Linked DNA regions of Macaca mulatta. The protein of the gene in region 3 purifies or fractionates together with the protein of the main gene of each other region. This does not show direct contact. Links are inferred from orthologs where the notes say so. Each region holds a gene or a part of one and is shown on either strand. Other genes may lie near its edges. The genes, in order: FAM120A, KPNA1 and RBM45.

Region 1 (7,411 bases), on a different chromosome or scaffold from region 3:
CCAATTATTAGTTGTCATATTGTGACCCCCAAGAAGACATAACTTTTGATTAAATTTTAAACATAGATGTTTATTTTTACCTCAACATTTAAGCAATTTAACTTCAAACAACCCCCGAATTTGAGCTGAGAATGCAGAGTATATAAGCGTTTGTCAGCTAAATATTTTGCCTGCCATCAATAGTTACTCAACAAAAAAAGTGTTTTTTTTTTTTTAAAAAAAAGAACACACAGCTAAATAGGGCAACTAAGAATTGAGTTTTATGTGTTATGATACAATAATGAATTTTAAACTTTCCAAAAGTACAATAACTGGTCTATGTTCTCGAGTATAAGTCTAGACAAATACAGTTTCTGGAAATAACTACAAAAGTCAACATTTATTGAGCATTTGTTGTGTGGTAGGCACACAGATTATCTGATTTAATCCTTAAAACAACCTGGGAGGTTAAGTACTATTAATATGTTGATTTTACAGATGATAAAATTCAAGGTTCAAACAGGGTAAATATTTTTGCAACGGCACAGACTTATCAAAAGACAGATGCTGGGGGTCTGACTCCAGAACCTTAGAACTCTACAATGTAATAAGGTGAAAATAAATTTATTTCCAGAATTTCAGATACTGGCACTAGCATTTTTTTTTTTTTTTTTTTTTGAGATGGACTCTCGCTCTGTTGCCAGGCTGGAGTGCAGTGGCATGATCACTACAACCTCCGTCTCCCGGGTTCAAGCGATTCTCCTGCCTCAGCCTCCCGAGTAGCTGGGACTACAGGTGTGCGCCACCACGCTCAGCTGATTTTTGTGTTTTTAGTAGAGGTGGGGTTTCACCATGTTGGCTAGGATGGTCTCGATCTCTTGACCTTGTGATATGCCCGCCTCGGCCTCCCAATGGTGCTGGGATTACAGGCGTGAGCTACCACGCCCGGCCGTACTAATGCATTTTTAAAAATTAAAAGCAAGAGTATTTAAAGAAAAGGTAAATACATGGAATGCAATGCTATGAATGAAAATACAAGTGATTAAAAACTACTACTCCTCACCTTGTGAACCTGCCTTGGGTTATAGAAGGAAATTTGGATATTTCTGGATTTTACCTTATTATTTAATGGCTAACTGTATTATTTCTTTTATTTATTTATTTTTGAGATGGAATCTAGCTCTGATGCCCAGGCTAGAGAGTGCAGTGGCACCATCTGTGCTGACTGCAACCTCTGCCTCTCGGGTTCAAGCAATTCTCTTGCCTCAGTCTCCCGAGTAGCTGGGATTACAGACGCACACCACCAGGCCCGGCTAATTTTTGCATTTTTACTAGAGACGGGGTTTCACCATGTTGACCAGGCTGGTCTCGAACTACTGACCTCAAATGATCCACCCGCCTCGGCCTCCCAAAGTGCTGGGATTACAGGCGTGAGCCACCGCACCTGGCCTGTGTTATTTCTAGATAACATGTCATCCTGGCTTTGTGACTAATTTGATGCATAAGTGAGTGGCATAACTTGTCAGTCTGTTTTTAAATGTAACTTCTTAAAATACCAACAGCATTTAATTTATGTATATATGATACTGGCTTGTATCTGACGTGGCTATCAGAAAAGAAAGCAGAAAAATCAAACTTGCCTTTTTCACCGGGAGTATGGGGGCTTCTTTGACCAAATCGTGCGCGTGCAGGCTCCATGTGCTGGGAAGGGGCTGTCCGGCCACAGCCTGTCGGTTGCATCCTGCTCCTCTACAGAGGTTTCTCCAGAAAAAGAACAGATGGAGAGGTGAAAGTAAGTAAAAGCGGCACTTTAAAACTTTTGTGCTGGGTTTCTAAATTTATATTCTGAAAGGCATTAATCTCTTTTTGAAAATGTTTTATGCAAGCCTAATATACATACAGTATCAACCTCATTTTAGAAGCAATTACGACAGCGCTTAGGAACAGAATTTACGTAAACGACCTCCTTCCAGAAGATGCTACTAAACCAACAAGATTTAAATCCCTCTCCCTAAGAAGGGCAGGGCGACCCACTGCAAAGGCGCACGTTTCAGCCTGGCCATTCCGCAGTGGGAACGCAGGCTTTCCACGCTGCAACAGACCTGTGCTCTCAAGACAGTCTCTTCCGTGACGAGCAGGCGCTTAGGACTACCTGTACCTTCAGACATTATGGTGCGTTTGGCCATGTCATTTGTCATAGGTGTAAAAACCACTACAACCGAGAGCCCGAAGCTGCTGGGATGAGCACCTGCCGCGGAACTGCATTCTCGCGCTCCTTCCTGCTCTTTCCAAGAAGCCCGGCGCGGCCGGCCAGCATCCCGCTCCCCCGGACCCCGCAGTCAGTGTGGGCAGCAGGCCCAGAGCGGTGCGAGCCCACCGTGGCGTTAGAAAGGCTGCGTCCCGACGAGCAGAGTAATTCGGCCTCCGGCTCACCCTCAAAGCTCCATCTTATCGCCGCTTCCCTCAGGAGCAGGCGAGCTCTTCCCCAGGACCTGCTTCGCGGCTTTCCCTCGCCGGAGTACCGCCGGGCGGCGGCGGCGGCCTCTCTGGTCCTGCGGGGAACAGGCCGCCAGGAGGGGAGCGGCGGCCGACGGGCCTGAGGCGGGCGAGCGGCCTGTGGCCTCCAGGCGCGGCCTGCTCCGGCTCAGGCGCCCCCTGGATCCCGCCCCGGCCCGACTCCCGGCCTCCGCCTCCGCCGCAGCCGCCTCCGGGAGCCCCGAACCGCGTCCCGCCGGCGCCGCCTCTTCCGCCTGCTCGCCGGCGGGCCTGCGCGGGCCTGGGCGGCGTCCGCGCCGGGCGGGTCCGCTACGTCAGCGCCGCCCGCCCGCCCCGCCCCGGCCCTCAGCCTCGGCCTCGGCCTCGGCCTCGCAGCGGCGGCAGCGGCGGCGGCGGCAGGTCCCTCCCCAGACATGGCCCTGGGAGGCGGCAGCACATGGCGGCCGCGGCGGCCATGAGCGCGCCCCCGACCCGCCCCAGTCCCCCCTAGAGGCCGCCGCCCCCGCCCGCCCGCCCGCCCGCGCGCCACGGCCCCACCGCCCCCGGCCCCGCCGCCCCCCGCCCGCACCCGCGCCCGCGCCCCCGCCGCCGCCATGGGCGTGCAGGGCTTCCAGGACTACATCGAGAAGCACTGCCCGAGCGCCGTGGTGCCGGTGGAGCTGCAGAAGCTGGCCCGGGGCAGCCTGGTGGGCGGCGGGCGGCAGCGGCCCCCGCAGACCCCGCTGCGCCTGCTGGTGGACGCCGACAACTGCCTGCACCGCCTCTACGGTGGCTTCTACACCGACTGGGTCAGCGGCGGCCAGTGGAACCACATGCTTGGCTACCTGGCGGCGCTGGCCAAGGCCTGCTTCGGCGGCAACATCGAGCTCTTCGTCTTCTTCAACGGCGCGCTCGAGAAGGCCCGGCTGCACGAGTGGGTCAAGCGGCAGGGCAACGAGCGCCAGACGGCACAGCAGATCGTCAGCCATGTCCAGAACAAGGGCACCCCGCCGCCCAAGGTCTGGTTCCTGCCGCCCGTCTGCATGGCCCACTGCATCCGCCTGGCGCTCATCCGCTTCCACGTCAAGGTGAGGCCGGGGATCCGGGCGGGCCGGGGACCGGGGCCGCGCCGCACCCCTATGCCCCTTCCCAGGGCACAGAATGTCGCCCGGCCGTGGCGGCGCTGGGGGCAGCGAGCTCCCCCTGCCCTGGCTCGGGATAGCCGGGCCGGGCCGCAAGATGGATGGCCGCGGGTGCAGGCCGCGCGCTGCCCAAGCCCGCCTCCAGCTGTCCCTGTTCGGGGTCCACGGCCGCGTGGGGACACCTGAGGGCTGGGAGAGAGCACCGGACCAGAATTCGGAGGCGGCAGTGTCATCATCCCGAATATCCTTAGTTTTTCCCGTCCTGTGGGGGCGGGCAGGCTATCACTCACCTTCAACTTTGACAAAATATGACTCCCTTTTCTAATTTAGCCTGTTCTTTCCCAGCAACAGGTTCATCTCGGAAGCAAGCAGGATACAGAGTAATAGAGGGGGTTTCGCCAGGGCCCTCGGGGGCTGCAGATATCACTGCTGCCGCCGCCGCCCTTGCCAATGCTGTTAGCCCGGTGACAGCGAGACGTGTCTAAGGGCCAGTGCCCTGGCCTCTACTTCAGAACGCAGTGCCCTGTCCGTGTTCCTCTTAGTACAGGGTGTTTAGAGAATCTTTCTATGACTTTTTGTGTTAGATTTCAAAGAACCGTGCACTTTGACAGGATGGGATTTGTCAGTTCTGTGACTTCACGTCGGTGTGAAAGAGGTCTTTAAGGCAGTTCGGTTTTGTAGATCCCACGCGAAAGGAGTCCTTCAAAGTCAGGGGGCGAGCTACACGGGGCGTGAACTCGCAGGATTTATTTTTCGGGTGCACAGTAAGTATTCAGTGACCTTCAGCGGCGCCCTGACGGGTGGGTAATCAGAGCTCTACATCACCGGCCTCCTCTGGCCCTTTGGCAGAGGGTTCCGCAGCTGGCACTGGGCCAGAGGAGAACTTCAGGACCCAGCAGTGACTGTGGAGATAAGCACAGACATGATCCTGGACTTCACGTTCTGATTGCTTGCTTTTTTCATTGGTTTTCTTGAAAACAAATTTTGGGGGCCTTTTTGGTGTCTTAGCTCTCGCCACTCTGCCTTCCATCTTGTCATTCTTTGACATTTCCTTGAAACTGCTGGAGCTGAAAGTTTGTGAAATTCTGTCTTCGCGGTTGCCCCCGGTGCCCGCGAGGAGATGGTGGTAGTTAAGCCTAAAATGATAGCGGAAGTCCCACCCACGATCCGGTTGCAATTGGTGAGATGGTGTTTAAGTCGTGGGTGGAGGCGGCCGGCAGAGTCCCGATTGGCCCCTGCGCCTGGCAGACACACAGCTGCCATTCCTCAGGGAAGTTCGGGTGAGAGGAAGTGCCTGCCTAGTAATTTCTGAATCGGAGCCTGGGGCGCTCAGGGAAGTAAGGTGCTGCCATTTGTCTGAAGCGATCCATCTTCCTAATAGAGCGTAAAAGTGTTCAAAGTTTGGTCTTGTTCAGAGATGGAAAAGACTACTTAAAAGACAGGATGGGCTGCACTTGCCTTTGGTAACCGCACAGCTATCTACTTAACTAGTCAGGCGAGTTTCAAGGGAACACTGAATATTACTTAGGATTAGAATCAGTGTGTATGCATATGGTCACTGTATCTTTAAAGAACTGTTGAGTTCTTTTTAATTCTACAGTTTCTTTATCTTTGCACCCCTTTGAATGCCTCGCACACCTAGTAGGTGCTCAGAATTCAGACCAATGTGTAAGTGTTTGGAAACTAGATTTAAGCTCCATTTCAGATCGTCTTTTTCACTTAGGTTTCTGGACACGGGATAATTTTGTCTATATTTTGCTTTTGCTAAGCTTTTAATTATTGAGCTAGGATCATATTATAGTGTAAATTGCACAAAATGAATATTGTAATGACTCGATTACTTGGTGGTCTCTTAGCTGGCAACCTTACTTTTTTGAAAAGTGCCTGAGAGATTTAGCTACTAGAAATTTCTCAGCAACCAAGCAAGATGTCAGGAAGTTGTGGGGGGTGGCGGGCGTGGGGGGGTGCCTTTACTTTCCTCACTGAAAAATCCTTTTAAGCTCTCTCACTCACGGACTGGTCTCTTTTTAGATGTAATTCTAACAAGCTTGGTTATCTATTTTCTAAACTCAGCTTGAGAAGAGGGTGAAGAGGAGAGTCTGCCAGAGGCAGGAGCACCATTAATAGCAAGAAGTGACAACAAGAGTGAAGATTTAAAAAGCTATAAAAAGCAAACATGATTCTGGGGCTATTTTAAGAAAAGGAGAACAACCCTATGTACTTCAGTGGTCCCTGAGGGTAGTACAATGTGTTTTCTGTAAGGATGATTGGGAGTCATAACAATTAATATTCAGCATTCTCTGTTTAAGGGATCGAAACAGCGTATACCACTTAACAAAATATACCCATAAAATGGTTAAAAGGTTTAAAACCATGATGAGGTATCACTACAGGCCTATTAGAATGGCTAAAAGAGAAAAAAATTTGAGCAATACCAAGTGCTAGCAAGAATGCTGAGCAACTGGATCCTTACACATTGCTTGTGGGAATGCAGAATGGCACCGCCACCCCAGAAAACAGTGGCAGTTTCTTATAAAGTTAAGCATACATTTATCATACCATCCAGCAATTCCACTCCTGGGTATTTTCCTAATGAAGACTTTTGTTTGCGCAGAAACTCGTACTCAAATGTCCATAGCAGCTTAAATCATAATAGCCAAAACGTGGAAACAAAATATCTTTTAATAAGTGAATGGTTAAACTACTGTATAGCCATACTATAGAATGCTGCTTAGCAATAGTAAGGAAGGTGTAGGTAACAACTTGCATGAATCTTTAATTAAGGTTTTATACTGAGTGAAAGAAGCCAGGTTCAAAAGGGATGATTATAAAACTATAGTGATGGGGACCAATTCAGTGGTGCTGAGAGTAGAGGAGAGGAAGGATGTACACATTAAGGGGACAGCAGGAGAGAGCTTTGTGGAGTGATGGAACTGTTCTGTATTCTGATGGTGGTGATGCTACCATACATTAAAATCAGAATGATTCATCCAAAGTAAACGTGTTAATTTTATCGTATGGTAATTTTTTTAAAATTAAGTAAAAACCACTGGCAAAGGAATTGACATGAACACTTCAGTATATATAATATTGGGTAAATGAGACATTTATGAAAACTTTAAGCATCTTACTGGTGCTTTCTCGTGTTTCGTAAATTGGCGGAGGGGCATAATTTCTTGTTACCCTTGCTTAGAGAAATCTTTTTTTTTTTTTTTTTGAGATGAAGTCTCACTGTGTTGCCCAGGCTGGAGTGCAGTGGCGTGATCTTGGCTCACTGCAACCTCCACCTCCTAGGTTCAAGCGATTCTCCTGACTCAGCCTACCTAGTAACGGGGATTACAGGCGTGTCTGCCATCATGCCCGGCTAATTTTTGTGTTTTTGATAGTGACGGGGTTTCACCATCTTGGCCAGGCTGGTCTTGAGCTCCTGACCTCGTGATCCACCCGCCTCAGCCTCCCAAAGTGCTGGGATTACAGGTGTGAGCCACTGTGCCCGGCCAGGAGAAATCTTTTTTGACTTAGAGTTTATTTCATTTACAGAGTAATAATTGTATTTTTTGTTCAGTAGTAGTAATTGTATTTCTTTAACCATTAGAAGTTGGTCTACGTGGAAGGAGAGCCAGAACAATGAAAATAGTAATAATACGTTGGCCTGTGTATTGACTAGTTTTGGATAGGTCCTGAAATAGCCTAATTTGAACTTGGTTTTAGCTAGTTACTTGGACAGTTTCCTGTTGTGTGCTTTGGGTCATTATAACCTTTGAAACTTCAGTAAATGACTTATGTTTATTTTAAAATCTTGGTCACTGGAGCTT
Region 2 (7,533 bases), on a different chromosome or scaffold from region 3:
ACTCCCAGCTTATAAAGGTCCATGGAATGCCCTTAAACAAAAAAAGACCCATACCTAGACATATCACGGAATTTCAAGGGTTAAAAATATCCTAAAAACTTGTAGAGATTGGGGGTCAGTAAGGGAAGATCACATACAAATGAAGAATCAGATTGGCTTTGGATTTCAACAGTAACCCTGGAAGAAAGAAAACAACAGAACTACGACTTGCAAACTTGAAGTAAAAGTTACCTTCAGCTCAGAATTTTATACCCAAATTATTGATCAAATGCGAAGTCAGAATAAAAATTTTTTTCAGTCATGTAAGATGTCAGAAAAGTTTTTGTTTTCCATGTATCCTTTCTCAGAAAGCTACTAAAAAACGTACTCCAAGGAAGTAAGTAAACCAAAAAAGAAAATACAGGAAACAGTAAACGGGAACCAGTACTAGAGAGGGCAAATAATTTTAAGGATGATGAAAAGAGAAGTCCCAGGAAAACAACTATGAAATAGGACTAGAAAGTAACTAGTCCTAATTGCATTAAGAGGTTCTAGGTTAGCTGTCTCACAAAATGAAGCAAACAACAACAAAAAATACTAACTTCTAGAAAAACAAAAATTTATCAAGAGAAGAAATGATATCATAGTACTCTACATGAGTCAGCTGTGAACATTTATATAGTTATAATATTGTAAACACTAAATATTGGTTTAATAAACACCTGTAACTATATTTGGAGGATGGCAGAGTCAGTGTGTGCATGTGACAGGTGAGGTGAATATATATGTGAAACACTAAGGATCATCTTACTTAGAAGAAAGCCAATAATATCTATAATTGCTGTATCATGAAATAGCAGTAAAAGCAAGTCACTGTATTTGTAAATATGAAAGCAAACATAAGAAACAGGAGAAAGAAAATGGTAGCTTCTCAAGTGCAGAGGCTGAGACAAGGAACAGCTGCTTTTTCAGGTATTCTAATTTTAAATTTTTATTTTTTTAATGTTGACAAAACAAGGAACTTGAACAATCTCACGATGGTTATATTTTCAGTATTATTTCATGGTGTTAAACAAACTACATCTAGTTTGTTTTGCCAAAGAGACTGAACGGCTAAAACCAATCTTTAACGATCAATGTGAACACAGTACAAACAGCCCTACTTGAATCCCAACTTCACTACTTTGTGAAGTAAGGCAAGTTACCCAATCACCTTGCACACGTAATCACCACCTCAAAATGGTTTTGCAAGAACAATTAAGTGAAAGCAACTGATGCAGAACCTGACCCATCAACAGATAGTATTTTCGGCAGGTCTTTCTGTTCCTTAGCTGCAAACGCCTATTCTGACCCCAAGCTGCCTCGCTGCTCACAGACTATATAGGGACTCATGGACAACTCAGCACATATCCCTCCTCACACTAGAAAATCAATCATGATGAATAAGCAGACTTATCTTTGTATATGAAGGGCAGCATTACTGTTGTTATATGAAGGAGATTATCCCCATTATCCACATTCTGGATTACTGCCTGCTTTCAAGAACTGTCCCAATTAGTCTACAGCACTTGGACAGAACCATTTTTTCATGTTCTGTTTTGTAGATTTGTAACATCTTAAAAAAAAAGAAAGAAACATACATTCCCATAGTCTTCATCCCTACTCTTCCAATGTTTCCAAAATTTCCAAAATTTTCTAATGCTGGCCCTATCTGGTCTCCAGTTGGCCTGAGGCCATCTCCTGCTTACCACAGCAAAAGAGAGAAATCAGCCCAAATCAGCTAATTAACTATTCACCACTTCCAATGTTTTCTTCCGTATTATGGCTAAATTCATAACACCATGCAAAGTACAAAGATACCTTAAAACAAAACAAGGCGTTATCTTTTATCACTAGGTCAGTCATCTTTACTTGCAAGACCAATCAAAGGTCTTAATTGATTTTATACACAGTATTCATACACCTAAAAACAATCTGGCAGACTTAAAAGCACAGACTTCATAAATCATTAAAACTCTATTTTATCATTAATTCAACAAACACTGCTAAAACACTGAAGATGAAAACAATAGGATATAATCCTATTCTCAAATGTAAAGGGAAAAGGACCATCGAGAGCAACAGAGAATAAAGAAAATAATCCAGGAAACAACTGACAGCAATTCCAGATTACGTATAAAATAATTTTTAACATAGTTGAGACTAAAGAAAATTATAAAAATTGAACACAGCTCTGAGCCTCCTGACAGTCAAAAGTATGGAGAAACAGGATGGCTTACAAAACAATCTAATAAAACCAGTCATCTGTTTTTAAAAAAAAAAAAAAAAAAAGCTTAATACTGGGGTCTTAGGAAGAATTTGTCTCCAAGGTCTGTATTTTATAGGAACCAATAAATAAATTAGAAATTTCTTCATTAGATGTAAATGAAGAAAATGTTTTTCATGGCCCCTTTTGGTATGTATCAGTTCTAGATAAGATGTATATTAAATCATAGTTCTGTGAAGAAACTTCTATGAGAACCACTTTATAAAGTAACATAATGCAGCTGGGCGCAGTGGCTCATGCCTGTAATCCTAGCACTTCAGAAGGCCGAGGAGGGCGGACCGCGTGAGCTCAGGCGTTCGAGACCAGCCTGGGCAAGACGGTGAAACCCCATCTATACTAAAATACAAAAAATTAGCCGGGTGTGGCCGTATGCGCCTGTAGTCCCAGCAGTCTCAGGCAGGAGAACTGCTTGAACCAAGGAGGCGGAGATTGCAGGGAGCCTGCAGGGAGCCCAGATCGCATCACTGCACTCCAGCCTGGGCAACAGAGCAAGTCCTCCACACCCCCCCCAAAAAATAATAAAATTAAAAATAACATAATGCAAGAACAGTGATTTCAGGTGATACCTTTCCCATTTAGTTTATTCTAGGTTTTTATAAATGTATGTTTTGTTGCCCTACAGGACTGTAAATTCCTCAAGGCTTATGTTGTCTGCTTCCATTTCAACTGCCTTTACTATTTAGTAGAGTGCTTTACAGTTGCTACTCAACTATAACTGATAAAATGTTATGCAGTCAATATTTGTAATATTAGCTTTCCCCGCTACACTATAAATTCCATGAGAACAGTGACAGTGAGTTTTGATCGCGACTATATCCCTCCAAATCTAGAAGATCACTCTATAAGTATTCGCTGATTGAACGGATTAAATAAAGAAAACACAACGAAAAAGTATGAAAGGAGAGAAATAATTTAAATGGCAGTAACTTTGGGTTCTAAGGTTGTTCTCAATAAGAGCTAGAAGACCTCAGGTAAGTTACTTAACATTTGATTGTCAATGCTTTCATCTGTAAAATAGAAAAATTAACAGATATTTCAGATTTAAATGTTTTTAATATATATATAAAGCATTTAACACAATACCTGAAAAAGAACTCAATAAATGTTAATTCCTTTACTTTCTCTTACATCTCATCTATCCATAAAACAGTGCCTTCCAGGAATATATTATTTCAGTAAAAATACAACAGTACTCATTCTTACTTTCCTTTGAAAAATTAAATTTTCATCTCTTTAATCTTTAAAAAGGAGGGAAAAATAATTTGTGGACTGCTTTCAAAATATTACAAATGCAAAAGCTAGTTAAGAAAAAAACAGTGTCGAGAATGAGCCTTGTTGGTGGCACCCGCCTGTAGTTCCAGGTAATGGGGGGGATGCCTTGAGGCCAGGAGTTCCAGATCAGCCAGGGAAACAAAGCTAGACTCCATCTCTTAAGAAAAAAAAAACAGGAGGGGGGAAATCACCTTATCTACTAATAGAGATTTTTAAGCAACCGTTTATTTAAGAAAAAACGGTGAAATTCAAGTTAATATTACTTGACAGTACCCGTTTCAGAAAAAAAAAAAATACTCTGCATTGCTGGGTGTGGTTGCCCGAGACTAGTCCCAGCTACTTGGGAGGCCAAGGCAGGAGGCCAGTTTGAGCTCAGGAGTTGGGAGTACAGCCTAGGCAATATAGCGAGACCCCATCTCTTTAAAACACAAAAATTCGGCAATCGTTTGTTCCGAGTTGAAACCTTAAAAACGAAATATTTTGAACGCTTTCACTTAAAAGTGGAACACGACCCAATCCCAAAAACATTACTTCATGACGACTCCCTTGACTCCAGTCATCCTTCAGTTTTATCCTCCAGTTGTGAGCTTAATCTGATACCTAGCTGTTTCCCTCGCATCGCCACTTTAACACGCGGTGTGCAGACCAAGTTCTGTCATTCCTGTAATTACCACACCCCCAATCAGCCGCTACAGGCCCCTGTTGTTATGACATCTGTAAACTGCAGCCGGTCGTCTCCACCTCCCCGCGCCCCCGCCCCGCTTCCCCTACCTCCCTCCGGGCCGCCGGCTCCGACCCGGGCTGTAACTTGTGAATTCCCAAGACGGTCCCTTCTTGCCAGGGTTAGAAATTTTACACGCCACCCCTGCTCCTTCCTGCCTCTGTCAGAGCGCTCTGCACGGCCCACCTCCGCCTCCCGCCCGCCGCCCAGCCACGGCGCAGGCTCCGCGCTCGCCTCCTCTCCGCCCGCTGCCTCGGCACTCCGCAGTCCCCGGCGCCGCTTACAGCCCTGCCGCCGCGCCACGCCGCCCCGCCCCGCCTCGACCGGCGTTCCCGATGGCGATCACACCAGGGCTCCCCACCCCCACCCTCTCCTCCGCCGGCCGCGCGGCCGTTAGGACAGCAGGGCCCGTGACGCACGGACGCGGGCCGAGCGTCCGGGCCCAGGCACCGCGGCTCGAGGCCCGGCCGGCGCCCGCCCTCGCCCCAGGGCCTCTCCCGAGTCCCTCCCGGACTGCCCGGATCTGCCGGCGGGAGGGGGAGGGGCCGGGGCCGCAAAGCCCCCGCACTCACCAGGCTCAAGGCAACCGATCCCGGTGCCACCGCTGAAGTGAGCCCTCGCTCGCCCGCCCGCCGTGCCGCTCCCCGCGCACAACCTCGAAGAGCTGGCCCGCGCCTCGGCGGTGCTCAGCAGGCCTCGCTCTCCGCCGCCGCGCACCTAGCAGCAAGACTCAGCTCTGCCGGCGTTCGCAGTGCGCCTGCGTGCGGGGGCCGGCCCGAGCGCCTACGCGCGCCCCTCCGGCGCTTGCCGCAGAGGCTGCCGGGAGACGTAGTCTTGTAACGCTCTCTCGCCGCACGTTCCTAGCGATTCTCGCCCAGCCTGCGAAGAGTCGGGGATCGGGGAGAGGAGAGGGTCTCGCTAAGAAGGAGGTTTGCAGACCATAACAAAGGTTGGAGAAAGTTATATGTGCAAACCTGTCTTTGCTAAGCTCTTCCAGGGCGGATCGATGTTCACCTCTGTATAGCTTCTAACAAAGTAGGTAACTAATACGCGTTGATGGAATGAATGATGGAATGATTGAAGACTGAGGGAGTATTACAAAATTAGTAGGTCAGCGCCTCGTGTCTAAAGGGCTCACATGCAGTATGAATGCAAGAAGCTTCTGGACATTCCTTTTTTAGTTATGTCCCATCCCCTTTGCTTGATAATGTATGAGTAGTATCAAAAATAATTAAGTGCCGGGTGCAGTGGTTCACACCTGTAATCCCAGCACCTTGGGAGGCCTAGGCCGGTGGAATACTTGAGACCAGGAGTTTGAGACTAGCCTGGGCAACATCGCGAAACCCCGTCTCTACTAAAAATACAAAAATTAGCCGGGGGTGGTGACGGGCGCCTGAAGTCCCAGCTACTGGGGAGGCTGAGGTGGGAGAATCACCTGAGCCCGGGGTTGACGATGAGGCTGCAGTGAGCCGAGATCGCACCACTACACTCCAGCCTGGGCAACCGGAGTGAGACCCTGCCTCAAAAAAAAAAAATAATAATAATAATAATTAAGAAACTACATGAAACACAAATACTCGTTTAACTCTCAAGTGCTCTCAAACGAAAACTTGGAGCAAATGATTGTTAATGTTAAATTTGATGGAATTCTTTGGGGGAGCAAATGGAGTAGTGGCTTCAAAAGAAAAACTGAAGCCAGCCTAGCAGGGGTCACAGAATAGTAGATAGATTTAAAACATATGCCAAGAAGCAAGGTAAAAGAGATGAGGTAGATTAGTACATTTATAAATGTCCCAGGGAAGAGGAGAAGACAGAGGACCACTCTACCTGAATCCTAGGTTATGCAATGTTCATTTGTCCTGGACTTCACTCTGCTGCATCAGCATTCTCCCGCGATGTGTTTACTAAGATCAGAGTTGAGTTTGAGCAATGTGGCTGGGGAAAGGGAAGGTGTGTTCACCAGGAGAGACTTAAGGGCAAGTTTGCCTGACCCCAGCTAGACTGAAGACAGATCACCTTATTCCAATAAGGAGGTAAGATTGATTATTCAGAGCTGGTCTTCAGTCTTCGGGAAAGCTAATTTATTTCCAGTTCACCCTTAATCCTAGCTAGTCCTTGATGGTCCCATCCAAAAGTCTGGGCTATTTACTCAGGCCTCTTCTCTTTGATGGGCCTTCTAAGGCCCATGAGACAACCATAGGCTCTGCTCACTTTTTCAGCCACTGCTTTCAGAGTCAGCAATCACCTTAGCTTTGGAAAAATGATGACAAATATCAGGCTCACCTCTGGTGGCTTCCTTTTTCTTCCAGATCTTGCACTCACAAATTCTCACTTCCTTGGTAGCTCTTCAGTACATTAACGTTTTTATATTTTGTCCAGTTGTTCTCTGTAGTGGAAAGGTTGATTGAAAACAACAGTAGGCCATTGCTGGAAGTTGAAGTCCTATGTATGTTACTTTTACAAAAGTGTTATCTTACTGTACATGATGTTTTATAAGCTAATGTCTCTCTGACAATATCATTTTATATTTTGAGAAATTTGAAATTATAGAACAGTATTTTTTGTTATCACAAACAATGCTACTATGAACATTCTTGTACATCTCTACTGTGTATAGGGAAACTGCTAGATCCTAGGACATTGCATCTTTAACCTTACTGTATATATTAGATAGAAATCTAAGATGGCCCCTATAATCTCTGGTCCCTGGTGTTGCCTATATAATCTCCACCCCTTGAGTGTAGGTGGGACCTTTGACTTACTTCTAGCCAACAGAATATGGCAAAGATGATAGGATGTCACTTCCATGATTCCTTTTCATTATATAAGACTGTCTTTCCAAACTGGAGCTAGAGATTTGCTGCTGGCCTTGAAGAAGCAAGCTGTCATGTTGTGAACTGCCTATGGAGAAGACCACATGCCAGGGAACTGCAGATGGCTTCTAGAACTTGAGTGCAGCCTCCAGCTGACAACCAGTAAGAAGCCAGGGCCCTCAGTCATACAACTACAAGGAAATGAATTCTGCCAACACCCTGAGAGAGGTCAGCCTCCAGATGAGAAGACAGCCTGACTTACACCTTGATAGCAGTTTTGTGAGATCCCGAGCAAAGGAAACAGCTAAACTGTGCCTGGACTCCTGGTCCACAGAAACTGTGAGATAATAAATGTGTCTTCACATACTATATTTATGGTAATTTATTATACAGTAGAAAACTAATACACTAGACATTGCTGG
Region 3 (7,489 bases):
AGATTAAAGTGTAATATTTGTTCATTCAGGAAAAGATAAAAATTTATAAATATTTAAGGTAAAAAACATTTTCCTTACCACTGGAGGAGGCATAAAATATATGTTTTTGGTATTTACTATTTTTGAAGTATTTTATTGAATTCTCAATTGGGGTAGGAGTGAAAGTTTGAAAATTACTTTTTACTGCTTGTTTTCTTTCTTGCTTGTTGCCACCCAAATCATGGTAGGATTAGTAGAAAAAAGATAAAGAACTACAACTCAAAACAATTTAAAAATTGCTTTTTAATAATCTGTGTGAAAGCTTATCACTGCATAAGTTAATGGCTAAAAAGACTTAAAATTATCCTCAAATTTCATTTATATAGGTCAGAGCTATACTTATGTTTTCTTCTTTAAATATAACTCCTTCAAAGGCCCAATTTTAGGACAAAAACTCTTCAAAAAATAAGCCTTTCTGTGAATGAGTACCATGTCAACATACCATAGGCCTTTTCTAAATACTAGATAATACAGTTCACACACTCAGGTCTGCCTGATTCGCCTTTACATGCCAGGCAACAGAGGGGAGTGAAAAGAGCATGCTTTGAAATTTTAAAGACCAAGAGCAGGCTCCAGACTCCGATAGCCTGGGTTTAAATCATAGCTCTACGACCTACTAACTGTGTGACTTTACTTAAAAGTTTCTGAGTTTTATACTTCATTTCTGTGAATCTCTACTTTCACAATAAAGTAGGGGGAGACTACCATTACTATTTTCCAGTTTTTATATATTCTTTAATTTTGAAAACTAATTTATGCTAGGTTTAATATTTAAAAAGTAGATTGAAATTGATGAAAACAGTTATATAATTCCCCACGACTACTCTATTGACCTTATTCCAATGACACTTCAGATTTAGTACCCATACAACCTGTATAGGACTATGAGTTATCACATATGCTAGCTGATTAGAATAAGTACCTTAAATTTTTCCCGCAGATCTTCCTCTGTGTAGGACTTTGGTATCATAACAAAGATTCTTGTAAGTTCTTCATCTTCAACATCTCGGTGACTTCCAGATGATCGGGACTGTGCAATGAAAACCTAAGAAACAAACAAAACTCCCAAAATAAAATAATGTCAACTATTTTCCCATTTCTTAAATTTTTTTCAAAAGCAATTATTCTTGCAATGACTTTTTATTTATTTATTTTTTTTGAGATGGGGTCTCGCTGTGTCACCCAAGCTGGAGTGTAGTGGTGTGATCATGGCTCACTGCAGTTTCAACGTTCTAGGCTCAAGTGATCCTCCCACCTCAGCCTCCCAAGTAGCTGGGACCACAGACACATACCACAACACCCAGCTAATTTTTTAACATTTATAGAGACAAGGTCTTGCTATGTTGCCCAAGATGGTCACGAATTCCTGGGCTCAAGTGATCCTCCCACTTTGACCTTCCAAAATGCTAGGATTACAGGTGTGAGCCACCGTGCTGGGCCTGCAATGACTTTTTTTTACGAGCTAATACCAATCTCTGCATTGTTTGTTTCCCAAATGTATTTCTACTTTTGCATTTGTTTTAGCCAGAGCAATTTGAATAAATGTAATATAATAAATTAAAACACCATAAACAAGGGTCCTTGCATTGTTTGTTTCTCTTTCCTTTAAAGGGGTCTCTATATCTTGGTCTCTAATCCACTGCTGGTAAAGGGGGCTCTATATCATCCAAGCATGAAAAAACTGGAACTTATGAAATTCCAGAGTAGGAAGCAGCAACTAAGAAAACCACAGTATTAGAGACATATCCCTTTATAGTCTACTTCTAGTTATTCCTACAGTAAATCTATGCTATATGTCAAGCACTATATGAGTACAACTATTGAGTAACACAGAAATGGCCCACTAGAGTTTTGTGGCTGATATCAGTAATAAATGGTAAATAGGGAAATACAAATAGGGAAGCTTTAAGTATATGCAAAGACATTAGAGAAAAAAAAAAAAGAATCTCAGGTAAGATGAAATTGGAAGTGCCATCAGAACACAGATTTCTACATTTTAGAGGACTGAGGTGTTTCAAATCTCTGACAAAGGAGACAGTCTATGTAGAATGTATGTAAAATAATTAACCTCCTCATGGTAGATTTCTCCCATAAATTTTCACCTTCAAAGACTATGAGCGTTCATAGGCTCTAGATAAGAAGCATTCTTGCAAAACTAAAGCCAAGATTTTTTTCTTCTGTTTTCTAGGTTTCCCCCTTTCCGCCAGATAAATAGTTGGTCACAGAATAACTTTTACTTGGACAATCTTTTCTGGCTGAGGCCTGGTATGATAATATTCTTGTGTTATAGATCCTCTGAAACTTTGCAAAAGCAAAGTACGATAGAAATACTGAAGCTGAAGTAATTTAACTGGAAATGCTGAAAACAACACAAGAGTGTTCCAGTCGAAGATGGCTCGAGCTGCAGCTGCTGAATGAAACTAGGCTGTTAGGGTGTGGTGGCTCACAACTGTAATGGGAGGTTGAAATGGGAGGATCGCTTGAGCCCAGGAGTTTGAGACCTGCCTAGGTAACATAGTGAGACCCTGTCTCTATGAAAAATAAAAAAATTAGCTGGGCATGGTGGTGCACATCTGTAGTCCCAGCTACTTGAGAGGGAGGATGAGGCAAGAGGATTGCTTGAGTCTGGGAGGTAGAGGCTACAGTGAGCTGTGATCAAGAAGCCACTGCACTTTAGCCTGGGTGACACAGCGAGATTCTGTCTCAAAAAAAAAAAAAAAAAAAAAAGAAAGAAAGAAAACAAATGAAACTAGACTGTCTAGCTAGGTACTACAGTGAAACAACCTTCTGGCTAAAACTGAATAGTCAAAAATGTGACAAAGAAAATAGTAGTTTATTTCTTTTTGGGAACAAGATCTTTAATTTCTCTGCAGCTAAAAGAGAAGGTACATTTCAGTGCTGGGCCTTTAATTTCTCTTGTAGAAATTTATCAGGGGAAGGTGGTCCACCAATTTCAAATATGGCACCTTTTCTTGGGTTGTCCACATGGGCTCTGTGGCCATGTTACACTCAAAATATAAAAACCCTCTCCACTAAGGTCATAATTGGACAGTGATGAAACACATCAGTCTACTACAGAGGTCAGCAAACTACAGCTCCATTTTTGGTATAGCCCATGATGTAAGAACTGTTTTTACAGTTTTTAAGGACTGTAAAAACTGTCCTTAAAAACTGTAAAAACAGACAAGGATTTGTGACAGAGACTGTATGTGGCCCACAAAGCCTAAAATATTTACTAGCCAGCCCTTTACAGAAAAAGTTTGTCAACTCCTGATCCTGTATGCTGTGACCCTAAATTAATTTTGTTGCTCTCCTATTCTGACACACTTCAGAGGGTTGGAGAGGTGGGAGGAAGGGACTGTTTACCGTGTTACTGGTATATTCCCAGGCTCCTTCTCTTTTGTGCATGGAGCAAGACCTCCAGAGACTGAAGTATCTCTGAGTCCTTTATTTACATAAGTCCATAATAATACCATTCTCAATTTGGAAAACAATTTTTTTAAAAATTGAGAAAATATTTTTGTGCAAAGTACCAACAGAATAACATACATAGCAACTATTTACACGGGGCAGACGAAGGGTACAATTTAAGCAATTGCCAGATTCTCAGGACTGAGTCCTGATTTGAGATCACAGGGAGTAAGCAGTGACATCTTGGCTATTACCGATCAACAACAAGGACATATTGAGGGCTTACCCTGTGCGAGGCACTGTGCTGAAAGCACAGATTATGTCAAATAACCCTCAAAATGATCCTTCCTGACATGTGTCATTATCACAATGATTTGGCTCTTCTTAAGGCAGTTTACTTTGGTCTGCTTTCAAAGAAAATTTGCAGTAACAGAAAGGGTCAAGAACCAAATGTATGCTATTAACACTTTCAGAAACAGAGCTCGTTCAAAATAATCTTCCAAAACAACAAAATGTGATGAATATGTAACAGTGACCGTTTTAAACACCTGCACTTAGTATTATATACATGTATTCTTTTGTCTGGTACTGGGAAAACGTCCAACACCAGAGGTCCCCAGTTTAAAGTACTTTTGTCAAGTTGTTAACACCTCATCTCTACCTGAGGAAAAGCAGAGTTTTTCCGTTTGTTATAATGGAAATTCTGGGCATCTGAGAGAAGAAGGTCAGAAAAGTACTCAAAGTAGGCTAGGACGAGTTTGGCAGTGAACTCAAGAGCTGGTGGATTAGTGAGGGCGAGGGAGAGAGGACGCCCAGCCACTGCTGTTCTGTCACCCGGTGGCCGCGGTTGCCTGGTCCGCTCTCGGGGGGCAAACATTCCGCTTCCCGTCCCCTTCCCTGCAACCCAGCGCAGCTTCGTGGGAGGGGAGCCTCTCCTCAAAGCAGCCCCTGTCCCTACACCAGGTGCTGTCTGGTCAGCTGCCGGGAACGGATGTTCCACTCCTCCCTCACCCCGACAGAGCGGCAGGTGAAGGGAGGTCCGAAAGGCCCACTCCTTCCCCCGAGGGCACCCCGACCCGGGCACCCGCACCTTGATGGGCTTGGTGTCGTTGGGGCCGAGGCACTGGCCATGCATCTCCTCCATGGCCCTGCAGGCCTGTGAGCTGCGGGCGAACTTGACGAAAGCAATGCCCTTGGATTCCTTAGTGTGCTTGTCCCGCACCACCCAGATGTCCTGGATGTCGCCAAAAGGCGAGAAGCGCTCCCTCAGCACCGACTCAGGCGTGTACTTGCTGATCACAAGGAAGATGCGGCTGTTGGGCGGTTCGTCCAGGCTGTCCACGCCCGGGCGGAAGCCCCCGCCGCTCGCAGAGCTGCCAGCTTCGTCCATGGTACTCCACCTGAATGCAAGAGCCTCAGTGCTCTTTGCTTCTGCGGTGTCTGCCACCACTGCTATCTCACACCGAGGCTTTGCGGGCTCGTTGCTCCGCTTCCGGGAGAGAGAGGAGTCCTGCGCCAGGCGCTGTCCAGCCGCGCAGGATGCGGCCTTCCGGGGAGCGGCCTGCAGCGCCCCCTGGCGACGCGGGGGACGCTGACGCAGTCTAAGTCTCCAACCCAGCTGAGCCTCAGCCCAAGTATCAATTGTGTAATCCTTGTTCCCTGCAGGCAGAAAAGCGCTGCCTACTGCACAGGCTTTCCCAACGCTGGCTTTACCCCACCCCTAAGGCCAAGGATTCTTTCCAGTGTTAAAGAAAAAATTATTCATGACACTCATTAGAGATGGTACAGGAAGGCCAACTTTGACAAAAGGAGACATGGTGATAGGTCCAGGGACAGCTGCAATGGGGTCTTGCAGTGGGAGAGAGAGATTGGACTGAATTTTGACTCTAATAAGGACACATTTCTAACCAAGAAGCTGGGTGGGAGGTCAGTGGATGGAAAATTACTAAGAGGGTACATCAGGGTTAAGGAGGATTCTGGCTAAACCAACTTGACAGGATACTTGCTGAAGGCAGGCCAGGGTGATTGATATCCATGGTGGTCAGATACTGGATTTTCACTACACTGATTCACTACACTGAATCTTGCTGAAATTGGATTCTACAAGGACAGACAGCCCAAGATCAAGCCTAGTCAAGCAGAGGACTCAGAGGAGCCTAACTAAGTTTTGGTCAAAGAGGAGAGTCCTTTGTCATCATCTTGATCATAAGCTCAATAGACAATCAATATAGGACAGAGTTCAAACTACACAGCATTAGAGTGGAAAGGAACATTTGAGATCATTCCATTTCAACCTCATTTGTTAGAGATGAGGAAACTGAGGCCTATAGCATAGCCAAAGTAATAGAGATAAAAGTACAGCTAAAACCAGAACTAACTTGGCCGGGAGTGGTGGCTCATGCCTGTGATTCCAGCACTTTGGGAGGCCGAGGCGGGTGGATCACGAGGTCAGGAAACCAAGACCATCCTGGCTAACACGGTGAAACTCCCTCTCTACTAAAAAAATACAAAAGAATTAGCCAGGCGTGGTGGCGGGCGCCTGTAGTCCCAGCTACTCAGGAGGCTGAGGCAAGAGAATGGCGTGAACTCAGGAGGCAGAGATTGCGGCACTGCCCTCCAGCCTGGGTGATAGAGTGAGACTCTGTCTCAAACATGAACAACAAAAAACCCAGAACTAACTCCATCTGTTGATTTACTCAACTTCTACAAACAACCCTGGGGTTGGAGGGCAGTGAGGGTGGACTGCTCACCTGTGGAACTAAGAGAAATCATAGAGTGCAAGCAAAGTGGGAAACGCCTTCTTGCTAACAGGCCTTAGAGGAGAGGTCAGAAATCCAGTAGAAATCCAGAAACAAGGTCTCGATTTAGCAGTGGCATTGGAATGAAGTGAAAGGAATAAACCCCTACGTAGACTGAGGGCAGAGTTCTTCAAATGAACAAGTTCTGGATGCTAAGACCTAGGTTGCTATGAAGTCAACCAGATAAATATTTACTGTGCTCCAACTATGTGCCAGGCTCCATGCCAGGAGCTAGATATATAATGAGGAAAAGGAAAGACATGTCCTGAGGGCTTGTTTTCCCCCACTGTGGAAATCTGACATGTAAATATATAATGCAAAGTAATGTCAGATCATGTTACATGGTTTTGCTACTGAATTGTGGGAGCTTGGACAAGTTACTTAATACTTGCAGCTTCAGTTTCCTTAACTGTAAAGTAGGAATAATATTACCTACTAAATAGGTAATACATATTATTTTATAGTTGCATTAGTTAAGCTTGATAGCCACCTAATATATGCAGGAGCATGACTATCAAGTTTAATTAATTCACCCATTCACTTAATAAGTATTTTTGACTATCTTATATGTGTTAGGCACTGTGTTATACTGAAGGGATGTAGTATTGAGCAAAATAATTACTCTTCTCCCCCACAGAGTTAATCATTTAGCCTTGTATAGTTATGCTCATATGAGATAATATATATAGAGTTCATAGTTTAGAGATCAAATGAGATAATATTTGTATAATGGCACAATCGAGATTAATTTTCTTGTTTCCTTTGACTATGGTATCCACTTCCCCACCCCTGATATTGTACAGTTGTGTGATGACTACTGAGAGTCAGGGATTGTGGGTTGTTACCCTGGATTTAGCACTAACAAGATTTTTATAATTTCTCCTTGTATTACATTCCATATCTGTAATGAGGGCTCTGTTTACCCTGAGGCTGAGCAACTCTAGGAAGTATCTTTTCTTAACTTTCCATTTCTCTTTATCCTATCCACAACAATCAAGGTAAATGAAAATAATTTGATAGTGTAATAATTTTGTTGATGAGAGGAAGTGCAAAGCAGTATTATTTGCAAACCAGTGCCATCTAGTGGAAAATGTGTAATTTTCTCAAATTGTTCTGACTGGGCAATCTCTATTCTTTGTGAAATAAGACTACTGATTGGTGTCCTGAAAATTTTAGGCTGTTATTGAGAACAGTTAATTTTTTTCTCAAAAAAAGATAAAAGATTCCATAAAACAAAACCA

The links.
Region 1: the proteins of RBM45 (region 3) and FAM120A purify together in Homo sapiens (co-immunoprecipitation; 3 studies listed by BioGRID and IntAct, with this or other methods). This does not show direct contact. The link is inferred for Macaca mulatta from reciprocal best matches to the Homo sapiens genes RBM45 and FAM120A.
Region 2: the proteins of RBM45 (region 3) and KPNA1 purify together in Homo sapiens (co-immunoprecipitation; 3 studies listed by BioGRID and IntAct, with this or other methods). This does not show direct contact. The link is inferred for Macaca mulatta from reciprocal best matches to the Homo sapiens genes RBM45 and KPNA1.

The regions. Positions count from the first base shown.
Region 1 is NC_133420.1:124,034,216-124,041,626, forward strand, and holds the start of FAM120A (constitutive coactivator of PPAR-gamma-like protein 1), read left to right. Parts: upstream 1-2,872; 5' UTR 2,873-3,068; coding exon 3,069-3,542; intron 3,543-7,411. Other genes in the region: uncharacterized protein FAM120AOS, read right to left, coding at 1,620-1,740, 2,228-2,244. UniProt on the Homo sapiens protein: Component of the oxidative stress-induced survival signaling. May regulate the activation of SRC family protein kinases. May act as a scaffolding protein enabling SRC family protein kinases to phosphorylate and activate PI3-kinase.
Region 2 is NC_133407.1:161,249,958-161,257,490, reverse strand, and holds the start of KPNA1 (importin subunit alpha-5), read right to left. Parts: upstream 4,953-7,533; 5' UTR 4,871-4,952; intron 1-4,870. UniProt on the Homo sapiens protein: Functions in nuclear protein import as an adapter protein for nuclear receptor KPNB1. Binds specifically and directly to substrates containing either a simple or bipartite NLS motif.
Region 3 is NC_133417.1:83,045,059-83,052,547, reverse strand, and holds the start of RBM45 (RNA-binding protein 45), read right to left. Parts: upstream 4,965-7,489; 5' UTR 4,841-4,964; coding exon 4,541-4,840; intron 1,085-4,540; coding exon 962-1,084; intron 1-961. UniProt on the Homo sapiens protein: RNA-binding protein with binding specificity for poly(C). May play an important role in neural development.